Linked DNA regions of Caenorhabditis elegans. The protein of the gene in region 3 interacts with the protein of the main gene of each other region in a pairwise test. Each region holds a gene or a part of one and is shown on either strand. Other genes may lie near its edges.

The links.
Region 1: the proteins of wwp-1 (region 3) and eps-8 interact in a two-hybrid assay, tested with the Caenorhabditis elegans proteins (2 studies listed by BioGRID).
Region 2: the proteins of wwp-1 (region 3) and arrd-7 interact in a two-hybrid assay, tested with the Caenorhabditis elegans proteins (2 studies listed by BioGRID).

What each region holds. Positions count from the first base shown.
Region 1 is NC_003282.8:14,875,536-14,882,872, forward strand, and holds the start of eps-8 (SH3 domain-containing protein), read left to right. Parts: upstream 1-4,027; coding exon 4,028-4,080; intron 4,081-4,134; exon of another isoform or gene 4,135-4,155; intron 4,156-4,293; exon of another isoform or gene 4,294-4,314; intron 4,315-4,506; exon of another isoform or gene 4,507-4,528; intron 4,529-4,726; exon of another isoform or gene 4,727-4,747; intron 4,748-4,831; exon of another isoform or gene 4,832-4,852; intron 4,853-5,071; exon of another isoform or gene 5,072-5,092; intron 5,093-5,221; exon of another isoform or gene 5,222-5,242; intron 5,243-5,316; exon of another isoform or gene 5,317-5,340; intron 5,341-5,393; exon of another isoform or gene 5,394-5,414; intron 5,415-5,546; exon of another isoform or gene 5,547-5,569; intron 5,570-5,801; exon of another isoform or gene 5,802-5,822; intron 5,823-6,024; exon of another isoform or gene 6,025-6,048; intron 6,049-6,114; exon of another isoform or gene 6,115-6,135; intron 6,136-6,258; exon of another isoform or gene 6,259-6,279; intron 6,280-7,304; exon of another isoform or gene 7,305-7,325; intron 7,326-7,337.
Region 2 is NC_003280.10:12,058,652-12,065,988, forward strand, and holds arrd-7 (Arrestin C-terminal-like domain-containing protein), read right to left. Parts: upstream 3,971-7,337; 5' UTR 3,969-3,970; coding exon 3,793-3,968; intron 3,604-3,792; coding exon 3,498-3,603; intron 3,447-3,497; coding exon 3,284-3,446; intron 3,236-3,283; coding exon 3,126-3,235; intron 2,474-3,125; coding exon 2,059-2,473; intron 2,015-2,058; coding exon 1,830-2,014; intron 1,779-1,829; coding exon 1,674-1,778; 3' UTR 1,581-1,673; downstream 1-1,580. Other genes in the region: nadk-2 (NAD kinase 2, mitochondrial), read left to right, coding at 1-63, 908-1,119; arrd-8 (Arrestin C-terminal-like domain-containing protein), read left to right, coding at 6,434-6,615, 7,323-7,337.
Region 3 is NC_003279.8:535,416-542,752, forward strand, and holds wwp-1 (E3 ubiquitin-protein ligase wwp-1), read left to right. Parts: upstream 1-1,706; 5' UTR 1,707-1,722; coding exon 1,723-1,828; intron 1,829-1,887; coding exon 1,888-2,145; intron 2,146-2,190; coding exon 2,191-2,420; intron 2,421-3,286; coding exon 3,287-3,496; intron 3,497-3,670; exon of another isoform or gene 3,671-3,827; intron 3,828-4,037; coding exon 4,038-4,312; intron 4,313-4,379; coding exon 4,380-4,593; intron 4,594-4,648; coding exon 4,649-4,969; intron 4,970-5,307; coding exon 5,308-5,568; intron 5,569-5,648; coding exon 5,649-5,870; intron 5,871-5,928; coding exon 5,929-6,216; 3' UTR 6,217-6,783; downstream 6,784-7,337. Other genes in the region: icd-2 (Nascent polypeptide-associated complex subunit alpha), read left to right, coding at 393-434, 484-891, 941-1,078. UniProt on the Caenorhabditis elegans protein: E3 ubiquitin-protein ligase which accepts ubiquitin from an E2 ubiquitin-conjugating enzyme in the form of a thioester and then directly transfers the ubiquitin to targeted substrates. Ubiquitinates klf-1.

The DNA.
Region 1 (7,337 bases), on a different chromosome or scaffold from region 3:
CTAAAATATTTTCTCACTATTTCTCAAATGCCTTACCTGAAACCGATTAAACCTTTTCAAGTTTTCAAATAAGTGTTACTTATGTACTTTGCCACGCCATCAATCCAAAAAAAGCCTATAAAAATGAGAGAAAGTACAGATTATGACAGATTAGTTGCGGTTGGGTCGAGAAAGAATTGGCAACAATGGACGGGTTGAGAAAAAAAAATGTTTTTGATCTGAAGTGTAAATATAACAATGTATCTCCTTAAGTTTTGTGGAAGAACAGGAGAAAAAAAACCGAATTTTTGATTTTTTTCCAGTTTGAAAATTTAACTTTTTTCGCGAATTTATTGACTATATTCAATGAAATTACTGTTTTCAAGGTAATTAAATAATCATTGTGAAACATTATTTCAAACGATGTCTTCATCTTAATGTAGTGAGACAACTGTTTCTATTCAAATTAACAACATGAAACAATATTTTGTGTTTTTTTTTCTGCAATAAGCATAACTCCTTCTTTTTACGCTCATTTCTCACCTTCACCAAAGTTCGACCCCATGGTTTTTTTTTCAAAAACTCTTTTAAAAAACTGAAAAAAAGCTATGTTCTCAATAATTTATATAATTAAATAATTAAATAATTTCATACCTTTTGAAACAGAAAATTTTTTTAAAAAAGTATATACCATACATATTTCCTCTATTAGTATTGCACCCGACTACTTAACTTTGAAACGTTATATCTAGGTTCATTTTAAAGATATCAATATTTTGTTAACTACGAAATGATAGAAAAAGAACTAGCAAATATTTTGTTAGTTGGCAATGTTTGAATAAAACAAACGATAACTGAGATATAATCTATCAAAGTTTAACAATGGGGATGCAATACTAATACGGTAGATAAAAAGTTGTCTTGATACATGTCGCAGAAAAATATGGGACTTTTCTATACCTAGATTTTTGGCGCAACTGGTGAAAACCCGCAAATGACTTCTACTTCTCTAGTATTACTCCGCGAATTCTATTAGGATTTTGCAAATATTTTGAAACAGTAAAAATTGTAACTAACTTTCCGATCTTTCTAGGAATTTCTTCACCAAATGTTCTCTTTCAAGTCCACATTTAGCGCACTCGGTAAGGGTCTTACCTACCACTCACAACACCAAAGTTCGACCCCACGGCCCTCGCAACTTCTTTCTCATGGGCGTGTCGATATGGGGGGTAAAATCCCGGTATTTTCTCCCGCAATTTGTATCTATCGAAATGTGTCCTTCCCACCCAATCATTTCTCTCTGTGTATCTTCCCTTCCAATGAATTATTTGACCTTCGTCATCGCCTCCTAGCGGGCGTCTTCTAATAGTATAGAAGGCGTGTGTTATAGGGAGATGGGGGTGGAGAGAAGAAGTTGACTACTACTGACTTACAAATTACCGCCTCCTCCTTCCCCGTTGCCTAATACGGGTGAGAGGAGGTCAACATGTGTGGTGGGAAATTGAACGGAATTCGGAAGGAATTGAAAGCGATTTGGGGAGGGAAAAGTTATTACTAATTGTTTTCCAGGTGTTCTAATTGTTTCGAATTGGCAAATTTACAATCACTAATTTTTGTAATTAAATAAATGAAAAATTACTGTTTCAAATTGTCTTTTAAAGCGGCTAACAGAACTGAAACGGTAATTTTTTTTGTTTTTTTTGGAAAAAAAATAGACTGTAGAAACAGCTGCTCAATTTTTGTAACGTCAGAGATGTGCTTTTTTTGAACTGGGAATGTACATTACTATGACTAATTACGTAATGTATTTTGAATTTCTTACTTTAAATGAATGTTCTATCAAATAAATTCATATCCGTTTCTCTCTCGCGGCAAACACAATAATTTTCTCGAAAAAAACATTGAATTAATTAAAAATATGAAACAGCAGAATTTTTCAAATTAGAAAAAAAAACTATCTTCGCACTATTCTCGCATCTGAAATATTGCTTCTAAATCACAACCAAACACATTAATTATTACTAGTGAAGCAGCTATTTTTTTCTGAAAATTATAAATTAAATTTAACATATATTTTCACTAAAACTACAAACTACAATTTGAGCACAGTAAAAAATTGCACAACTTTTGTAAAATCGAATTTGTAAAACGAATTAGTGTTTCTTTATACAGCAACTAATCCCACATATTTCAAAATAAGTAATGCAAGTGAAACAGTAAATTTAACAAAATTAACCTAATTTTCAAATGATTCTCAACCGAGCTTAAGTTCAATACCTATCCAAATCCCAACCAGTTTTTCATTCCAATTCCAATCCATCTACTTTCTCTCTCCACCTGTGTCTCTCACCTCTACCATACTATTTCTCCCACCTTTTCAATCGACAGTTTTTTTGCTGTTTCGGTTTCTACTGGATACACGCCTTTGGGGCGTGGAAATAGAAGAAGATGGATGGATTTTGGAGGAAAAGTTGAAGGAAAACTAGAGAATGCTGGGGCCCGGATACTTATTATTTCTTTGATTCGATTTTCTTTACTTTTTCCCCAGTTACAACAGATTTTGGAAAATTTCACGAAATTCAATTTTCTTTTGTTTCTTTGGATGTTTTTAAAAAGGGATTTTGTAGTTTGAAAACTTGAAAGCTTACAGAAAATTTTATGAAAATTTGCATTAAATTTTCTGCAGTTTCACACTCTTTATTTCAGCGTTATAGGGGTTTTTGCAACATTGCTTCAATTTCAATTTTTCCTATTGCTAAATATAGAAAAAAAAGCGGTGGCGAATTCTTTATGAAATTGTCTAAAATCCATCTTGTATACGTTTCAAAAAAAATTATGCTGTTTCAAAAATGTAACTTGTTAGCACAGAATATACGGTTTTCGTTCAGATTCGTTTTCAATCTCAATTTTCAAAATCTTCAGTTGAAGAAGTTATCTTTTTCTGTTTTTTCTTCGTAAATCTGAAAAATAATCACTGCTTCAAGTTATTTACGATTTTTAATTGATTTTGAAATCTAACTCAATTACTTTAATTAATTCTGTCATGTTAATACATCTACAAAAATAAATCTTACTCCTATATTTTTCATTCAATTTCAGATCTGATTGACTTGATTTTCAAGAGTATAGCTATTGCTAGAATTTTTAGTTGTTTTTAAATTTATCATTGATTTTCCGAGTATTGTTTTATTCACTAAAATTTCCAGATTCACAAAAGTTTTTAGTGAAAAATAAATCAGTGAATTGAAAATGTTTTAATTTAAAATTCAGATTTTTCTCTCAATTTCTCACTCTAGCCGCTTTAATGTTCTCTTCTCTCAATCTTTTTGTTAATTTTTTGAAACAAATTATCACTGTTTCAAGTTTTTTTAAAAATAATTAATCAATTTTCAATTTTAATTTTCACATAAATTGCTTTCGCTTTCATGATGTTATTTTCAAAACAATATTTTTCACTATTTTCATTTGTTATATAAAACATGGTAAAACTTCCCATTATACTCTCTTTTTGCTTTCTTAACTCTAGTTTCCAAATTAAAATTAAAAAATTGTTTCTAAACTTCAATTATATTTTCCTAAAACTTTCCACGAAAATTAAAATTCATTAGAATTTCTTACAGTTACGAAAAAGGAGCCAAACTTTGAGATTTGAATTCAAGTTTTCCACTTTATAATTAAAAATGAAAATTTCTTCCTTATTGTAACATATCATTTCGTTAATTTTTTAAACCAAAACTTTAAAATTTTCCTGTTTCACGTTGTTTATAAGAAACATTGATTTTTTAAAAACATTGCTCGGTGGATTTTCTGAGTCTTTTTCAAAAAATAAAACAAAACTTTTCTCATGTTTTTATTGGTTTTCAAAATGTCATATATTTTTTACTTTTCCAATTCCAACTACAATTTTTCGAAAACCCAATGCTTCAATTTTTCTTCCATAACTTTAAAGTTAAATTAAATTTGATTTTATTTCAGCCAGTCAAATGCCATTTGCTTAAAAAGCGAGGAAATTTATCATCAGTGAAGAAGTGTAAAACATCTATTAAAAATGATGCGTCGAGGTGGATCGATGGGTCCACCGAGCGGGGATCCATATCAGAGGTTAGTATATTGTTTTATGAAAATAATTTAAACACAAATACAAGGCAAATTTGATTACATATTGAGATAGTCAAATTTTACAATTGAAATAAAGTTTTTAAAGCTTTAAACTTGTTTTGTATTGAAAATCCAAGTATTTGATAATTACTCCCAAAATTGTGTCAATTTTCTAAAAATTGCTGACAATCTAAAAGGTGTGAGACGAATTAACTCAACAAACTAAGGAAAGCAGAACTAGAAAATATTTGAACTTTTTTTTGAAATAGAAGTTATGAAACGGTAATTTTTGCGAAATTTTTTAACCTAAAATTTAACTTCAACGTATTTGAAAATCCATTACTGCAAATAAATTTTGAGACTGAAATATTTCTCAAAAATTGACTATTTCGCAATAGATGTTAAATGAAATTTAATAAGTCACCAGAATTTCAAACAGGATGAAAATGAAAAAAAAACAGCTTCAAACATTTTTGTTGAAGTAATTTTTTTAAATCTAAATTGCTTCCAGCGACTTTTTAGAGCTGTTTTCTGTATGTTGATGGCTCGTAATACCCTAAAATTCATTTTTTTTCAAATAGAAAAAAAAATCGAAAATATCGCTGTTTCAAAGAAATGTTATATTTTCAAAGTTTTATCAATGAATTGTTCTGCTGACCTTTTTATTATGAGAAGATCAAATTAAATCATTTATCAAATTGAAGTCGATCCCCTATGAAAGTTCGACTAAACTGACTTCAAACCGCTTTTTAAACCGAAAATTGCAACATTCTTACTGAGTCAATAAAAATTAGAAAAATTAAATGAAGATGCTGAAACTGTAGAGTGTTTCAATTTTCGGTTTAAAAAGTGGGTTGAAGTCAGTTTAGTCGAACTTTCATAGGGGGTGGAATCCTTTAATCAGAAAATTTTAAACTGGATGAAAGAAGAAGTAAAAACAAACAAATAACTGCTTCAGATTCATGTTATTTAATTTCTGAATTTACTTTTCCGTTAAAGAATTTACTTTAAACTTTTTTTTTAGCAAATTAAAAATAATCTTTAAAAATCTAAATCTTGAAAAAGGAAAAAAAAAATGTGAATATCAAAATTTTGACCGTTTCACATTGTTTTTTTTTAATATTGACATTTTCTGGTAGCATAATATCAACAGAAGAATATTACTTGTTAATAAAAAAATATTAAGAAAATTAACTATTTCGCTTTCCTTATAAATATTCGTTATCAGATTTTATAAATTAGTAAGCTCTCGGAATTTTCTTAAATTTTCAGTTTTAAAGTCAAAACGACTTCCTTAATGTTCTAGAATAACTCAATCAATTAATTAACCAATTAATCCGTTGAAATGTCCCAGTTCGACAGGATTTATTGAATTTTCGAAATGAAGTTGATTAATTAGTTTTCAAGATGAATATCTTATTTCTCTGTTTCACCACCACACCTCTTTGGGTGTGGTTTTGGAAACTTATTTGGAATGTGAACGATTTTCCTAATGCCAATGAACTTTTTGCATTTTTTAAATTAGTTTTTTGAAACAGTGATTTTTTGTGAAGTCGTTTAATTGTAAGTTTTCAATATTAAACACCTTAAAAGTTAATTTATTGCGAAACCCCCTATAATAATGATTAGAATATTTCAAAAGTTGATTTTGAATTACTCTGATAATGCGTTTGAAATAATTTTTTCTGTTGAAACTAATTTGTTTTTTATGGTTTCCCTGTCTTCTGCATTTTTTTGAAAGCACATCATTGATAAAATGTTTCTAAAGTTTTATATTAAACATTTGGAACCGTGAAAAATTTTAAAACAACTCCAATATAGCTAACTTTTTTACATGTGCTTGTTTTTTGGAACAGTTTATTTTTTGTGCAAATTTTTAAGTATAATATTTTCAACATTTTACCATGTTTCAATGTAGTATTAAATTTTACCTCCACCATAAAAAATTATTGATTTCAATCTTATTGGTACATAACTCAAATGTTGAAAAAAAAATTTGTTGCACAATTGGAACTGTTTCAGAATTTCCCTACTTTCAAGAACAATTTTTTTTGGATATCGCAGTGTCCAAGTTTTCGAAAATTTTAGTCAGAAACCTGAAACTGTATCAATTTAAGCAATTAAAGTAAATTTAAAAACAATTATTGTATTCTTAAAAACCTGAAAATTGAATTGTTTAAAAGTGTAATTCACTGGAATTCATCAATATTCAAACTTTTCACATATTATGTAGCAAAGTGAAAACAGTAGAATTTTTAAAAAATTTAGAAAAGTCCTATACATTTTCAAGTTGCGATCAAAAATGGAACAAAAAGAAGCTGTTAAGTTTTGCTTATTCAGTCAAACTGTTACTATAAAATATAAAATTCAAAAGTTCAAGAAAATCATTTAGATATGTAACCAAATAATATTCGACTAATTTCTAATGAAAATACCTACCTAAAATCTAAAATCGTAATCACGGTTTCACAGAATATTATTTGGTTACATATCTAAATGATTTTCTTGAACTTTTGAATTTTATGTTTTATAGTAACAGTTTGACTGAATAAGCAAAACTTAACAGCTTCTTTTTGTTCCATTTTTGATCGCAACTTGAAAATGTATAGGACTTTTCTAAATTTTTTAAAAATCTTTGTGAAAAATGCGACTCTCTCTTAAAAAATTCTCTGTTTTTGTATCAGGGGTGTGCGGCAAATTTGCCGATTTGCCGAAAATTGCCGACTTGCCGAGCTCGGCAAATTTGCCGATTTGCCAAATTCGGCAAATTTAAAAAAACCAGCAATTGCCGATTTGTCGAGCACGGCAAATTTCAAAAAAGTAGATTTGCCGAATTTGCCGAGCTCGGCAAATTTCGAAATTTGCCGCACACGTCAAAAATTTTACAGTACAATTTTGACTAAAATTATTGATTTTTTCGCCAAAAATTTAGTAAAATGACACAAAATTGAGTTAGTTTTATGCTTAAGCAGACATACTACACGGAACTAATTCAGAAACCAGATGTGTGTTAAGAATTCGGTAGTTTTGGTGTTCCAAAAAACATCAAAAATTATCAAAATTTTCCGAGTTTGTTAAGCACGGCAAATTTGCCGAATTTGCCGAATTTGCCGTGCTCGGCAAATATTGAAAAACCAGCAATTGCCGATTTGCCGAGCTCGGCAAATTTTGAAAAACCAGCAATTGCCGATTTGCCGAGCTCGGCAATTTTTTCCATTTGCCGCACACCCCTGTTTTGCATGTCTTCATCGACTGCGGAT
Region 2 (7,337 bases), on a different chromosome or scaffold from region 3:
ATGCTGTTAGCGAGATTTGCACGAAATTTAATCAACAATTGATTTTTGATCCTGATCGCAAACGTAAGGGATTATACTTTTTTTAAATTTCAACTCAAAAATTTCAATTTTTAGTTTTTTTCAATCAAAAATTTCTGGATATTTTTTCCTCGGAAAATCATAAAAATTCTGGATTTTTCTTGCTCTTGGATTGAAAAAAACTTCAGTTTTTTTTTTCAAAAAAAAAAAAAAAGTTTCCAGAATTTCTTAAATTTTTTCTTGTTTTTTAAAAAAGATTTACAATAAAAATTCAAGATTTTTTGTAAATTATCCGAGTTTTCAATTTTTTTTAAACGAAACTATTTGAAGTTTTAGAAATTTTTCATATAATTTTCTAAAAAACTTTTTTTTTTGGAAAAATTATTTAATTGGAAATTAATTTTTTTGTTGAATTTTTTAAAAAATTCTCAAAACCTAGATTTAAAATTCAGATTTCTTTCCAAAATTAAAAATTCCAAAATTTGAAAGTTTTAGTTATTCTAAATAATTTCCACAATTTTTTGGATAAACATGGACAATTTGGTATTTTTTCCAAAAAAAAAAGCCTAAAAATAAAGAAATATAAACAAAACTAAATTATTTTTCAAGGAAAATCGAAAAAAAATCCTGAAAATTTCCAAAAAAAATGTTTTTGGAATTAAAAAAAAAATTCTCTCAAAACCTAGCATTAAGAATCTGGAAAAAATGTAGATTTTTCGAAATTTTCTCGACTTCTTTAATTGTATTTTTTCGAAAAAAAAATCCCTAATTTTTAAGGCGAAAAATTAGGTGGATTTTCCAAAAAAAAAAGAAGGAAAATTCCGAAAAACAGATTTCCTTGCTTAAAATTTAAATTTTTTTCAAAATCAATTTTTCTCTAATTTTTCAGAACTCGCATTCTCAGTCCGTGATCCGATCTTCAACGCGACGTTCCCACCAACCGATCCACGGGGATTCGCCGATAAAATTTGCATCAAGAGCCGCGGTTACGATGCTCATTTGGTCATTGACGGAGGCATCTCGTATCGATTTAACGATGGATCCGAGGCGGTGATGGAGGTTCGGGATGAGGATACGTTGCGTACGGTTGTATTCCGATAAATTACCTTTTTTTTGTTCGAATTTAAATTATAAATTTTGTATAGTATTATGTGCTTGGATAATGATGACGACCTCAATAAATTTAATTGATTTTTTGTTGGTTTTTTCATGTTTAAAAAAATTTTAGGCGCGAAATTCAAATTTATGTTGGCAAAAATTGATTTAACGTTTTTCCCCAAATTTCGTACTTAAAGGCACATGGTATTTTTCAGAGTGGGTCTCGCCACGATCAAACAATTTACAGCTAAAACCAGCCGCGACGCGACACGCAACGCGCCGTAAATCTACCCCAGATATTGCCAAGCCAAAATGGCCTAGTTCGGCAAACTCTTCCATTTCAAAAGATGAGGGAAGCCAGAACCGCGTGATCACCGTTAAAAATTCGCGAGGTTAAAAAAACCTGAAATTATTTTTTTCTGTATATTTTCGGAAATTTTTCGGAAATTGTCCACAAAAAAATGGAGCGTTTTTTTATTATCATCTGAAAAGTCGGAACAAAACTGCGGAACATGGCCGAGAAAAACCAGTAAATTCGGCCACCGATTTAAAATAAATTAAAATCCACTTTTTGCTGGCAGTGGAGGTGCGTATTCTGGTGGAAGTTGAGAATTTTGCTGTTGTGGCAAGTTGTTGTAGACTGGGTAGCGAGGAGCGAAGGCCTGCAAGTTTTCCGTGAGCATTTTGCTGAGAATTTCAAGCTTGAAGCTTACCTCTGCATCCTCAACTTTCCCAGCTCCGTGTACAGACTCTTCATAGCTTGGAGGAGCTTCTCCTCCGGGAGACGCTGGCGGGGCCGATGGAGCAGTCGGGTAGACTGCTTGAGACGCAGATGCTCCGGCGACTACAGGATATGGAGGAGCGGAGACCGATGGCATAGTTGGCATTGCTCCAGGAGCTGGAAGATAGAGGATATACCATTAAAATTCAAAAAAAAATTGCCTGCTTGATTCATCTGTCGAATTGGGATTGTTCCAATGATCAATGGGAATTCACATTTCAAGCCACCTCCGAAAATCTGTTGAGTTGAAACTTTAACGGTTAGACAATAATCCACGGCGATAATCGGACAATTAAAAGACGGAACAATCGCTGGAATCTTCATCGAAAGAACCATTTGCCCACGGGATTTCGCTGGAACATCAGCTACTCTTCTCGATTCGGCAACCAACTTTTCGTCGTTACGATTATGAGTATGGGCTGTGACGCCGATCATGTTGCCGTGACTTGCGTGGAAATGCGAGAGCTGTGTCATTTTTGCGCTAACTTCTGAGACGGCAACCTTTGAGCCGTTATCGATGTTTACGGTGATTGGCATGATTTCTCCGGCGACGTAGCCGCGTTTTGGGAGGTTTACCTGAAGATTCATACTATAATGGTATTCAACTGTTATATCATTTAAAGTTCAGACGTAGATTATAGGATGAAGAATAAGTATTATATTCTTTCAAGGAAAACTTGTTGGAAGTGTTTTTTTTGGGTTTTATCAAATATGAAAATTAAGTAGCAAATCATTAATGATACATCATGAATAAAGCGTCAGTGATTACTATTTGAACTTTGCATTCCATCTGTTAGTGTTCAAATAACCCCTTTTTTACATTTTGAACAATTTAGTATGTTTCAATATTATTTCTTCACCATTATTGATGTATTTAGAGCTACACTCTTTTATTAATGTCAGTATATACAGTGCGTGCAAGTTCTATATGCCACCCTCTAAATTTTTGGTTATGACAATTTCTGTGTAATTTGGTGAGCAAAAAGTATTGAAATCGGATTCACAATAATGAAAAACTTGTACTCCAAAAGTTTTGTGATGATAAGATTTTGTCAATGGTGCTTTATTGCAAATTGATAAAGAGAAGCGTACAAAGGTTGTTTTTATTTTATTTTATGATGTTTTTGAGTTAGTAGCTAATTTATAGTAGTAGACAAAAAACTGTGAAAAAAATTATTAACATTTCTACCACATTACCTATCTTCAATTTAATTCGATAATCCCTTACCGTAATTGTAACTAATCCCTTTTTGAGTATCAGTCCAGTATTCTTCGATGCAGTATTCACCATCGGGTTTATTGCAGTTGGAGTTATGTTCAAATCGAACACCGGAATCACTGAAACGACATTTTTCGATTCAACCCAAAGTTATTAAACGAATATACCCGAAAAGCATTTCCTCGACTTTTTATTAAACTTCCATGGTCTGTCTAATTCCACGTGGACATCGTATCGAATATGTCCGTGACAGCCTTCAAAACTTGGCGCACAATTGATGGGGAGGTTAAAAGCAAATGGGAAGACATTGGTGCCAGCTGGAAGACGGTCCTGAAACAAGAGTTTGTTGAAAGCGTGAAGACAGCTTAACCAATAACTCACAGTTCCATCTCTCGACTGCCATGCAATCGATTCTCCGGTCAAATAGTTGATAGTCGCGTTATAGTTCACATTCTCCGTGAATCGTTCCCTTTCTCCACGTGTGTTTCTGAAAGGCATTTTGTTTTTTGATGTTCAAAGGGTTTATTTTACAGGTAAGCAGTCTAGTAAAAAAAAGACAAGCTATCGTATTTTTCCGATTAGTGACTATTTATTGAATTATGGTCTTTAGGTAAACGACTATTAAGGGAAGCAAGTAAAAAGTGCTGAAATCAGAAATTCAAAAAATAAAACTCACGTCCTATATGTGCTGCGACTTTCACTCCAATGCGTATGTGCACCTCCGTGAATGCAAATTTTCAGAAACCTCGCTTTGATCCATTCACGATTCTGTATGATTACTTTTCCGGTGACAGCCTGTCCTGGGAAGTATACATCGTTCGGAGCGTCGTACTCAATTCGCAAGTCGTCCATTTCTGGTAATATTCTAATTATTATTAGCTGACATAATTAATAGTATGAGAATTTTTTAAAAATGCGTAGAATTTCAAAATTATAATTTTGACTGAAATTTTCAAGCTGAACATTTTGAAGTTTTTAGAGGGCTAAAAATTTTTTTTGAATTTTCGCCTAGCAAGATCAAACTGAATAAATTGGCTTGGAAACCTGGCATAAAAATGCTTATCGCAATATTTTTGGTCTGTAAATTTTTGATTAAATTTTCTAGGTGGAAAATATTTATAGCGCATTTTGTATAGAATAATATTTTCTGGTTTGACTGAATTATTCTTTGCTATAAAATTTTGGCTGAAAATGTTTTTGGAAGAACTTTACTAGTAAGTTTAGACTGAAAATTCGTAGCGAAAACATTTAATTATTTTTGGCTAAAAACTCCTGAACAAAAGTTTATAATACCAATTTTTCTGGAATTTTTCAAAGCTTATGTTTTCGACGTAATAATCTAACTTTAAACATTAAAAATTACAAAAAAATCAACAGAAAATCATATCGATTCTGAAATATAAAATCACAATCAAAAAGTTGTTTCCAGCACACTGAAATAATTATGAAACTGCTCTCAAGAATACATTAAATTCAATGATAGCACTTATCAGTAGAGCCAGCTTATTTGGTGACTAACAAAAAACGGTGAAAATTCCGTCACTAGGTTTGCGAAATTTTCCAAAATGTGCATGCATTTTGGACACCTAGATAGTATTTGTTTTGAGAGACCTAGGAGGGGGGAAGAACAAATATTGTATGTTGGGATGGTATTTAATGTGTTAGAGACCAAAATCATAAAAACAAGTAGTAAAATGGGATGGAATAGATCAAAATGTAGGAATTTAATTTTTCAATTTATTTTAAGAAATTTATCAACGGATTCGGGGAATTTTGTTCTAAAATTTAAAAAATTGACCGTTAAATTGTTAAAATTTATTATTATTAATATGATTTATTATTATAATTAAGATTGTTAAAATAATTATAGAATTTTTCTAAACTTTTGCAAAGTTTGTCAAAAAATTACACATAGTTGATTCTCTTTTGATTTTTCGTTTTTTTTTTCTCTAAAATTATTTTTTTTTAATTGGAAAAAAACGACAAAAAATCCAATACGTAACATGGCAATCGGCGAAAAATTTTCAATTTTCCTGTAAAAATATTTAGAATGCAATACATTTTCTTCTTTGAAAAATGAAAAAAAAATCATAAAAAATCCAGAACTAAATAAAAATTTAAAACTCATATTTTGAAGAATATCTTGAAGTTAGAGTTGAAATTGAGTAACAAAAATAACTAAAAATTTGAAAAAAAATTTGAGGAAGGAGGCTTTTAATTTTTTCCTAAAATTCCTATTTGAATTTCTCCTAAATCTCCAGCTAGAAGTTATATGCCGTACTTTTTTGCTCTAAAATATAAAATAAATGAAAACGGTTTTGTAGGAACTGTTTCAAATAATTAGAGGAATTTATTAAGCTTACAAAAAAACATTTTGGCCAACTATGAACTATGTTTTGTCGCGTTTAAACGCGACAAATCATTTTTCTCAAAGAGAAAAAAATTTGCTATATTTCAAGTCAGGAAACTTTTTTTCTACTCACAATTAAACATAGCGAACCTAATATAATTTCCAAACTTTTTTTTATGGTGGTGGAATTGAAAAAAAACATTTTTCGGGTTTTTTGAAATGAATTTCGTAGCTACAAAGACGGTCATACATTCATTTGAAAGTACGGAAAATTTGCTATTTTTATAGTCAGGACACTTTTTTTTTGCACGAACATAACCAAAGCAATTTAAACAAAAAAACTATTGACTGTAAATTTTTTGGTTAGTTTTTTAAAATATATTTTGCCTTCTGAATTTGGAGCGAATTCAAAATAAAAATGGAATATCAAAATTTTAGCCAAAATTAGATTTTTCAGGGTATCTTAAATCAAAACCCCGTTAACAATACACTATCTTTAATAACTTTAATAATATATAATCGATAAATTCCAATTCATAGCGAATTTTTAAAAAAAGCACACCGATTTATATTTAATAACCATGTTAACATTAAAAACTTGTGAAGAACCACGTCATCGCATAAAGTATAAATACACAAATAACCCATAAATAGTATATTGTTCTGATTCATGCTCAAAGTTTGCACTGAAAAGAAAAAAAAGACCAATGAAGTACGTTGTCTATGACGTTTTTGCACGTTTTCAGACTTTATCAATTTTCCGGCAAGAAAACATGACGTAAACATGGTGCATGTTTTATAAATAAAAGTTATTAGTTGATAAGAGAATGGAATGAACTGAGTTGTTTCTTTTTTAAGATTTTTTTTCTAGTTTTTATTCGGAACTTATTTATATCAACTAATTGTAAAGAAAAATATTGGATGTAAAGCTGTAATATAGTATAATTTCATGTCAGACTTACAAAAAATGGGAGACACCACATTTCTCATTGAATTCGACCATCCTGCCGCTGTATACTCCCCTGGACAGAATGTAGCAGGGAAGCTAACAATCAGAAATCGAAATGCTTTAAATGCACTGGCTCTGAAAATTTGCATCCATGGAGATATTGAAACGTTGTGGAGGAAATTTGAGAATAAAGGGAGATAGTGAGTTTTGGGGACTATTTAAAATTTCAAAAAATAGTCAAGAAAAACGAGTTTCAGTAAAAAAATTTCTCAGAAAATTCAAGTTTTCGGCCAGAGTTGTTTTTCCAGAAAAATCTGAATTTCTCAATTTGGGGTTAGGCATTTGAAGTGAGCCAATATGTAAGGTTCTGAAATGAAAGTGACGTAGAGGAAGATTACTTACTAATTTATAAGTTCTGATGACATGAAAATACAACTAAAATCGCCAATAGAAGCTTCGTTAAAAAATATATGAAATTATTATTGCCGCTCGTTTTATGGTACATACAAAATTTAAATACTTCCGCCAGATATTCATCTCTCTCCTTTCCAAAACAGTAATCAGATTATCCACTATTTAAAGGTACATTCAAAATTTGCCGAGCTTGGCTAATTGGGCAAATTGGGCAATCTTGCCGTGCTGGGCAAACTCCGAAAAATGAGAACATTTTGATATTTCTAGAAGCGCCAAAACTACTGAATTTTTAGCACAACTTTGAACTCAACTTCATGTTATTTTACTATAATTTTTTGAACAAAATCAACAGTTTTGGCCAAATTTGAAAAAAAAGCCTATTTGTGATGTGTGCGGCAAATTTCAAAATTTGCCGAGCGCGGCGAATTCGGCTGAACCAGTTTTTTGAAATTTGCCGCGCTCCCCTGATTTTAACCACCATATTTCTTTTCAGTGACCGACATGGTCG
Region 3 (7,337 bases):
CGCTCCATCGCACAGTTTGAACGTCGCGGGTCGAAGTTAGATGTGCAGGTCATATAGCAAAAAGAGAAACACCCCTTTTTTTCTCGAGAAGTTTCACCAATTTTGCGCGATTTTTCAACTATTTTTTTGCTTTTTTGGCTTAATTTTGGCTCAGATTTTCCTCAAAAACATGAAAATCCAATCTAGAATAAGTAGTAATGGGTATATTCTAAGATTGTGCAAAAGTTAGCTTGAATTTCCTCGATTAAAGCTTTCCTACCAAGAAAAATGTGTGGATATTTTGAATTTACAAGTTTTTCATCTTTTTTTTGTAATATTCTCTTTGAAACTCCTGTTTCTCTCAAATTTGTAAACTTTCATAAACGTTTTTTTCAGGGTTACCACATTAAACAATGACCGGAAGCACCGAAACTCGCCAGAAGGAAGTCAAGGAGGTTGGTTGTTCAAAGTGACGTCTAAAATATTTAAATTTCTATATTTCAGCCACAAGTTGACGTTTCGGATGATTCCGACAACGAGGCCGTCGAGCAAGAGCTCACCGAGGAGCAAAGACGTGTGGCCGAGGCTGCTGGACTTGGAGATCACATCGACAAGCAGGCCAAGCAAAGCCGCTCCGAGAAGAAGGCCCGCAAGCTCTTCTCCAAGCTCGGACTCAAGCAAGTGACTGGTGTCTCCCGTGTCTGCATTCGCAAGTCGAAGAACATCCTCTTCGTCATAAACAAGCCAGACGTGTTCAAGAGCCCAGGATCTGACACCTACATCATCTTCGGAGAAGCCAAGATCGAGGATCTCACCCAACACGCCCAGATGTCTGCTATTGAGAACTTGAAGCCAACTCGTGAGGCCCCACAACTCAAGACTGTCGAAGAGGACGAGAATGAGGATGTTGAGGTAATTCAGTAACTTAATCGGATTTATTACATTAATTGTACGGTTTAAGGAGGATTCCACCGGCATTGAGGAGAAGGACATCGAGCTTGTCATTTCCCAAGCCAACACCACCCGCAACAAGGCCATCAGGGCGCTTAAGGAAGCTGACAATGACATCGTCAATGCCATCATGAGCCTTACCATGTAGCTTGTTTCCTGATGACCTTGCAGATACTCTTGTTATCGTTGTATCTCTTGCTTATCCCGTTTTCCGTTCCAAGTAAACGTTTATCAGTCTTTTTTAACTTTTTTGTTATGTTTAAAAAACAATTGCATCTTCGAATTGACCTACCTTTTACAGAAAAGAACAATTAAATCACTGTTTGTGTAAAACACCCCTCTATTGATCGAGAACTTTCACTTCTTCCAATTCTTTACTCGTATGACTGTGATTCATTTCACCTGCTATCACTTTATCATGACATTCCAGTTTATATCAACAGCAAATACCAATTGTGTGTATGTGAAAAATGCTATTGAATAGCAAGCGCGCCCCAACAAACACGTTTGAATGCGCGGGCGAAACGGCGTTAGATGTGCAGGTCATATGACAAAACGCATCGACCAGCAGCCAATGGCAAGTTACTGCGAGCTGTTATAGATTTTTTCACATGGTTTCCAGTGTTATCAGTTGGAAATCGATCGATAATACTGACTAGTAGTACTTAACATCTTCATTCCCACCGTTTCGCTGTCATTTGTGATACGTGGATTTATTTTTCCTTTCTCGCCGACTTTTCATTTCTAAATCTTTTCTGGAATTGCGAAATTTTCAGCCAGTTTCATGATCGAATGGCTCGTAATGAACCATCATCTCAGCAGCCGAGTAGTTCCGGGAGTAATGGAACTCCAGCACAACAAAACGGGTCGGCAAAACCATCAAAAGTCACAGTAAAAGGTAACAATTCGTAGATTTTTTGCATCTGTTCTAATAATATTTCCCCCTCTTAATCATAGTCGTCAACGCGTCGTTCACCAAGGCAGCCGACTGCTATGTCGAAATCACGAGTGACACGTCATCGGCGGCGCCAAAAAAGACGACTGTAAAGAAGAAGACGATGGCGCCCGAGTGGAATGAACATCTCAACGTTCATGCAAATGAATCTTCGACAATTTCGTTTCGTCTATTGCAAAAAGCCAAGCTATTCGATGACACGTGTCTAGGGATGGCGAAGCTGAAGCTTTCGAGTCTCACAAGAAATGAGAATGGAGAGTGTAAGTGGTTTTATTGAAATTTTCTCAAAAAATCTATTATTTCAGTCAAAAACGACATCAACAATATATCTTTGCTGGCCAAAGACTCCTCGAAAATCGGAACTCTCAACATAATTTTCTCCGGATATCCAGAGCGGAAACGAAGAAGCGCAGGAGTACGAGCTGAAACCGCCGCGTCTGCAAGTTCAGAGGCATCCACGTCAAATGGCGTTGCCACGTCATCCTCGGCGCGGAGACCGGCGACAGCGAAGCGTGACACTTTGGCGGCTCCAACGGTAATCGTGACGAGACCCATTTTGAATTATTTAATTATTCATGAAACGCTCTACTGGAGTGTTCATAATTATTAGAGCGCGCTCGCGCGGCACCTCACGAACTCCAGAATTCGCGAGGACAGCAGTTTTTGGCTATTTTGGCTTCTATGGAAATTATTTTTAATTTTTTGATTTAAAATATTGTTGAGAAGCATCATCCAAATTGAAAATGTGTAAAATTATGAAATTTGACCGAAAACTGAAGGTTTTACAGAGAGGAGTCACCACGGCTTTCTTTAAAAAGTATCAGTACCGTCAGTATTTCGATTTCAGAGTCGTAAAATATGTCATTTTGTAGAGAAACGTCTGTTTCACAAAAATCCATGTTTGATATTTTAATTGTTTAATTTCTAATATAAAAATATTCAAAAAATCAACAAGTTTACGTTAAAATCGAATTTTTCAATCGTTCAGTTTTTAATAAGAACAATTTCATAATTTCAAACATGGATTTTTTTGAAACAGACTTTTCTCTACAAAATGACATATTTTACGACTCTGAAATCGAAAAAACTGACGGTACTGATACATTTTAAAGAAAGTCGTGGTGACTCCTCTCTGTAAACCTTCAGTTTTCGTTAAAAATAATTTCCATAGAAGCCAAAAATAGCCAAAAACTGCTGTCCCCGCGAAACGAAATCCCGCGAATTCTGGAGTTCGTGAGGTGCCGCGCGAGCGCGCTCTAATAATTATGAACACTAGAGGAGAGCGTGAATGAGCGTTTTTTATTCTTTTCTCTGCATTTTTAATGCTACAGAATCATACACAAAATGTTGTCAAATACATGCATTACTCTACTACTCTTAATGTTTACTTTTCATTTGCAGAGTACCGCAGCGGCGGCAGCAGCAGCAACAGCAGGCGGCACCCCGGCCGCCGGAGCAGAAGAACAGCTTCCCGATGGATGGGAGATGCGTTTCGATCAATACGGACGCAAGTACTACGTGGATCACACCACCAAGAGCACCACGTGGGAACGCCCGTCTACTCAGCCATTGCCACAGGGATGGGAAATGCGAAGAGATCCGAGAGGAAGAGTGAGTTTTCCGGCGGAAAAAGCAGATTTAGCACGAGAAAAGCGTTTCTGATTATATTTTTGATGCGAAAATCATCAAAATTAAAAATATCTACCGTAGCCGCGGATACCTGGACCAAAATGCCGAAAAAAGTGACCTGATAAATTATTTTAAGGCTAAAATCTTGATTTTTACATAATTAGTGTCTTATTTTTGTTGATTTCTTGTCAAATTTTTGTAATTGCATCGAAATAGGCCAAAAATAAAGTAAAAATCAACTTCCAACACAGAAAAACTGACAAAATTGAAGATTTTTGCTGAATTCAGGCAATTTTTCGTAATTTTGATCCTCCATAATTTTTTTTTTCGAGAAAATTTTGAAATTTTTTCTTTAAATACGGCCTGAAAATTAGGAAATTATAACGACGGATAAAAAATTCTGATTTTCTTTATTTTAACCAAGGTCTCCAATTATTTGATAATCGAAAAAAAAAAAACTTTCCAGTGATTTTTACTTGAAAAATGTCTAAAAATTCACGCCAGGTGCACAATCCATTTTCAGGTGTATTACGTGGATCACAACACGCGCACGACCACCTGGCAACGACCGACAGCCGATATGCTTGAAGCACACGAACAATGGCAATCGGGAAGAGATCAGGCGATGCTTCAATGGGAACAACGTTTCCTTCTCCAGCAGAACAACTTTAGCGCCGACGATCCACTCGGACCATTGCCCGAAGGATGGGAGAAGCGTCAGGATCCGAATACGTCGAGAATGTACTTTGTGAATCATGTAAATAGAACGACACAATGGGAAGATCCGAGAACACAGGGGTATGTGAAAATTTTCAATTTTCCAATAATATTTCTATCAAAAATCACAGTTTTAATGTTTTAAAAGTTTCAGAGGCTCCGACCAACCTCTTCCGGATGGTTGGGAAATGCGATTCACCGAGCAAGGCGTTCCATTCTTCATCGATCACCAGTCTAAAACCACCACCTATAATGATCCAAGAACCGGAAAACCCGTCGGCCCGCTCGGCGTCGTCGGTGTTCAAATGGCCATGGAGAAGAGTTTCCGGTGGAAAATTGCACAATTCAGATATTTATGCTTGGTAAGGGAGGGCGAGAAATTCTTTGATTTTAGCTATAAATTGATGTAAATTTCAGTCAAACAGTGTGCCTAATCATGTCAAAATCACAGTATCCCGTAATAACGTGTTCGAAGACTCATTCCAAGAAATTATGCGTAAAAATGCAGTCGATCTACGCCGGCGGCTGTACATTCAATTCCGAGGCGAAGAGGGTCTCGACTATGGAGGTGTCGCCAGAGAATGGTTCTTCCTGCTGTCGCACGAAGTGTTGAATCCAATGTATTGCCTATTCATGTATGCTGGTAATAACAATTATAGTCTTCAAATCAATCCAGCTTCATTTGTTAACCCGGATCATCTTAAGTATTTCGAGTATATTGGACGATTCATTGCCATGGTGAGTGTTTTTTTTTAATTGAAAATCAGTTGAAAATTGGATGAAAAATTGCGAAATCGAGAGAAAATCGAGTTTTCCGCTTTTTACAATTGAATTTTAAAATTTTAAACGTTAAATTTTGCAGAAAATTCCAAAAAAAAGCACTTGGATCTAAAATTTTTGTTTTTTGATGAAGGAAATCCTTAAATATCGATTTTTTTTATTTTCAGCTCAAAAAACCTGGAAATTTCGATGATCTCAAATTTTCAGATCAATATATTTCATTTTCTCCTAAAAATGTTATTTTTATTTAAACAAATAGTTTTTCTTAGAAAATTCCTTTATTTTCAAATTTCCAGGCGCTATTCCACGGGAAATTCATCTACAGCGGTTTCACGATGCCATTCTACAAAAAGATGCTCAACAAGAAGATTGTTTTAAAGGACATTGAACAAGTCGATTCGGAAATTTATAATTCATTGATGTGGATCAAGGATAACAATATCGATGAATGCGATATGGAGCTCTATTTTGTTGCCGATTACGAGCTGCTCGGCGAGCTCAAGACTTATGAGCTTAAGGAGGGCGGTACAGAGATTGCTGTTACCGAGGAGAATAAGGTGAGATTTTGGATTAGCTAGAGCTTATAAAAATAATTTTTAAATAAAATAATTTAATTTAAAAAATCCCAATTTTCCAGCTTGAATACATCGAACTGCTCGTTGAGTGGCGCTTCAATCGCGGTGTCGAACAACAGACAAAAGCCTTCTTCACCGGCTTCAACTCGGTCTTCCCGTTGGAATGGATGCAGTATTTCGATGAAAGAGAGCTCGAGCTGTTGCTCTGCGGAATGCAGGACGTTGATGTGGACGATTGGCAGAGAAATACTGTCTACAGACATTATGCTCCACAGAGCAAGCAGGTAGGGGAGAACATTTGATTAAAACTTCTTTTTTTTTAATTAAAAAATACATTTATAGGTAACCTGGTTCTGGCAATGGGTTCGAAGTCTGGACCAAGAAAAACGTGCCCGGCTCCTACAATTCGTCACAGGAACGTGCCGTGTGCCAGTCGGTGGATTTTCCGAGCTGATGGGCTCGACGGGACCACAACTATTCTGTATCGAGCGTGTCGGCAAGGAGAACTGGCTCCCACGGTCGCATACGTGCTTCAATCGACTCGACTTGCCGCCATACAGAAGCTACGATCAGCTCGTCGAGAAGTTGAGCATGGCGATCGAGATGACGGAAGGATTTGGAAACGAGTAGTCTCCCGTTGTTTTTTTTTGGTTTTGCTGGCCGCCTAATTATTGTATAACCCTCATATTTCTTCTCACCCACACCCCATTGATTTTCCTTTTTTTTCTCTCCATCAATTAATGTTTCTTTTTTTCGAATTTGTGTGATAATTTTCGTGTTGTGATACCACTTGCTTAGGTTCTCTCTCTCTCTTTCCTTTCCTTCTGGGTATGTACCTATATTTAGAATATAGACAAAGCATCTAGTTTTTTTGGATTTAATTTCCAAATTTCCCGTTTAATTCCAACAACAAAAAAACAATTCCACCACTTTTCAAATATTTTTTTTGTGTCCATTGCTTCATTGCTTTTCTTCTTCTCAACCATTTCAACCACCACCACCCAATCTGCGCCTTATTCTTACTTGGTCCTTGTCATTCTTAGTTCCAGTTTTTTTCACGGAAGCAGCTCTCGATTATTAATTCAAATGCATCCCCCCAACCAATCCGTCACCCCCCGATTAGAACAATTTCTACTTTTTTTTTTGAAAACAAAAAAAAACACAATTCCTCGATTTGGTTGTAATGAATTTAATTTTTTAAATTTTGAGCCTTTTTTGTTGTTTTAGGTTTTCTTAACTTTCAGAATTTCCATGCGGAACACACGGAGAGCAGAAGATCAATATTTTGAACCCTGCAGGAGAAGGACGGGACCCTTTGGTCACTCATGTCTCGGCTGTCTGCGTCTCTCCTCTCTCTCTGCACCAGCGGAGAGGATGGATAGCCTCATTCGTTTTATTTCGGACTTTCGATTTTTCTTATTGCTCCACGTTTTAGCTTTTATCAGATTCGGGGAGCTCTTGCTTTTTTCTTGATTTTTTCGTAAAGTGTTCTTGGGTCCCGCAGCGAAAATTAACTTTAAAATGATTTTTTAAAAACTTTCTAAAAATTCATTTTTTTTTCCATTTTACGACTAGAAATTTCGAAATTTGAAAAAAAAAACCGTGTTGCAAATGCGCTCCAGCGTACAAAACAAAACCGCCACCAAAAAATTTAAATTACTGAAAAAAACGATGAAATTTTGAATTTGTTTTGCCATTTTCCGGCAATGATTTTTTAAATAAAAAAAACTGTACAACAAATGCGCTCCAGC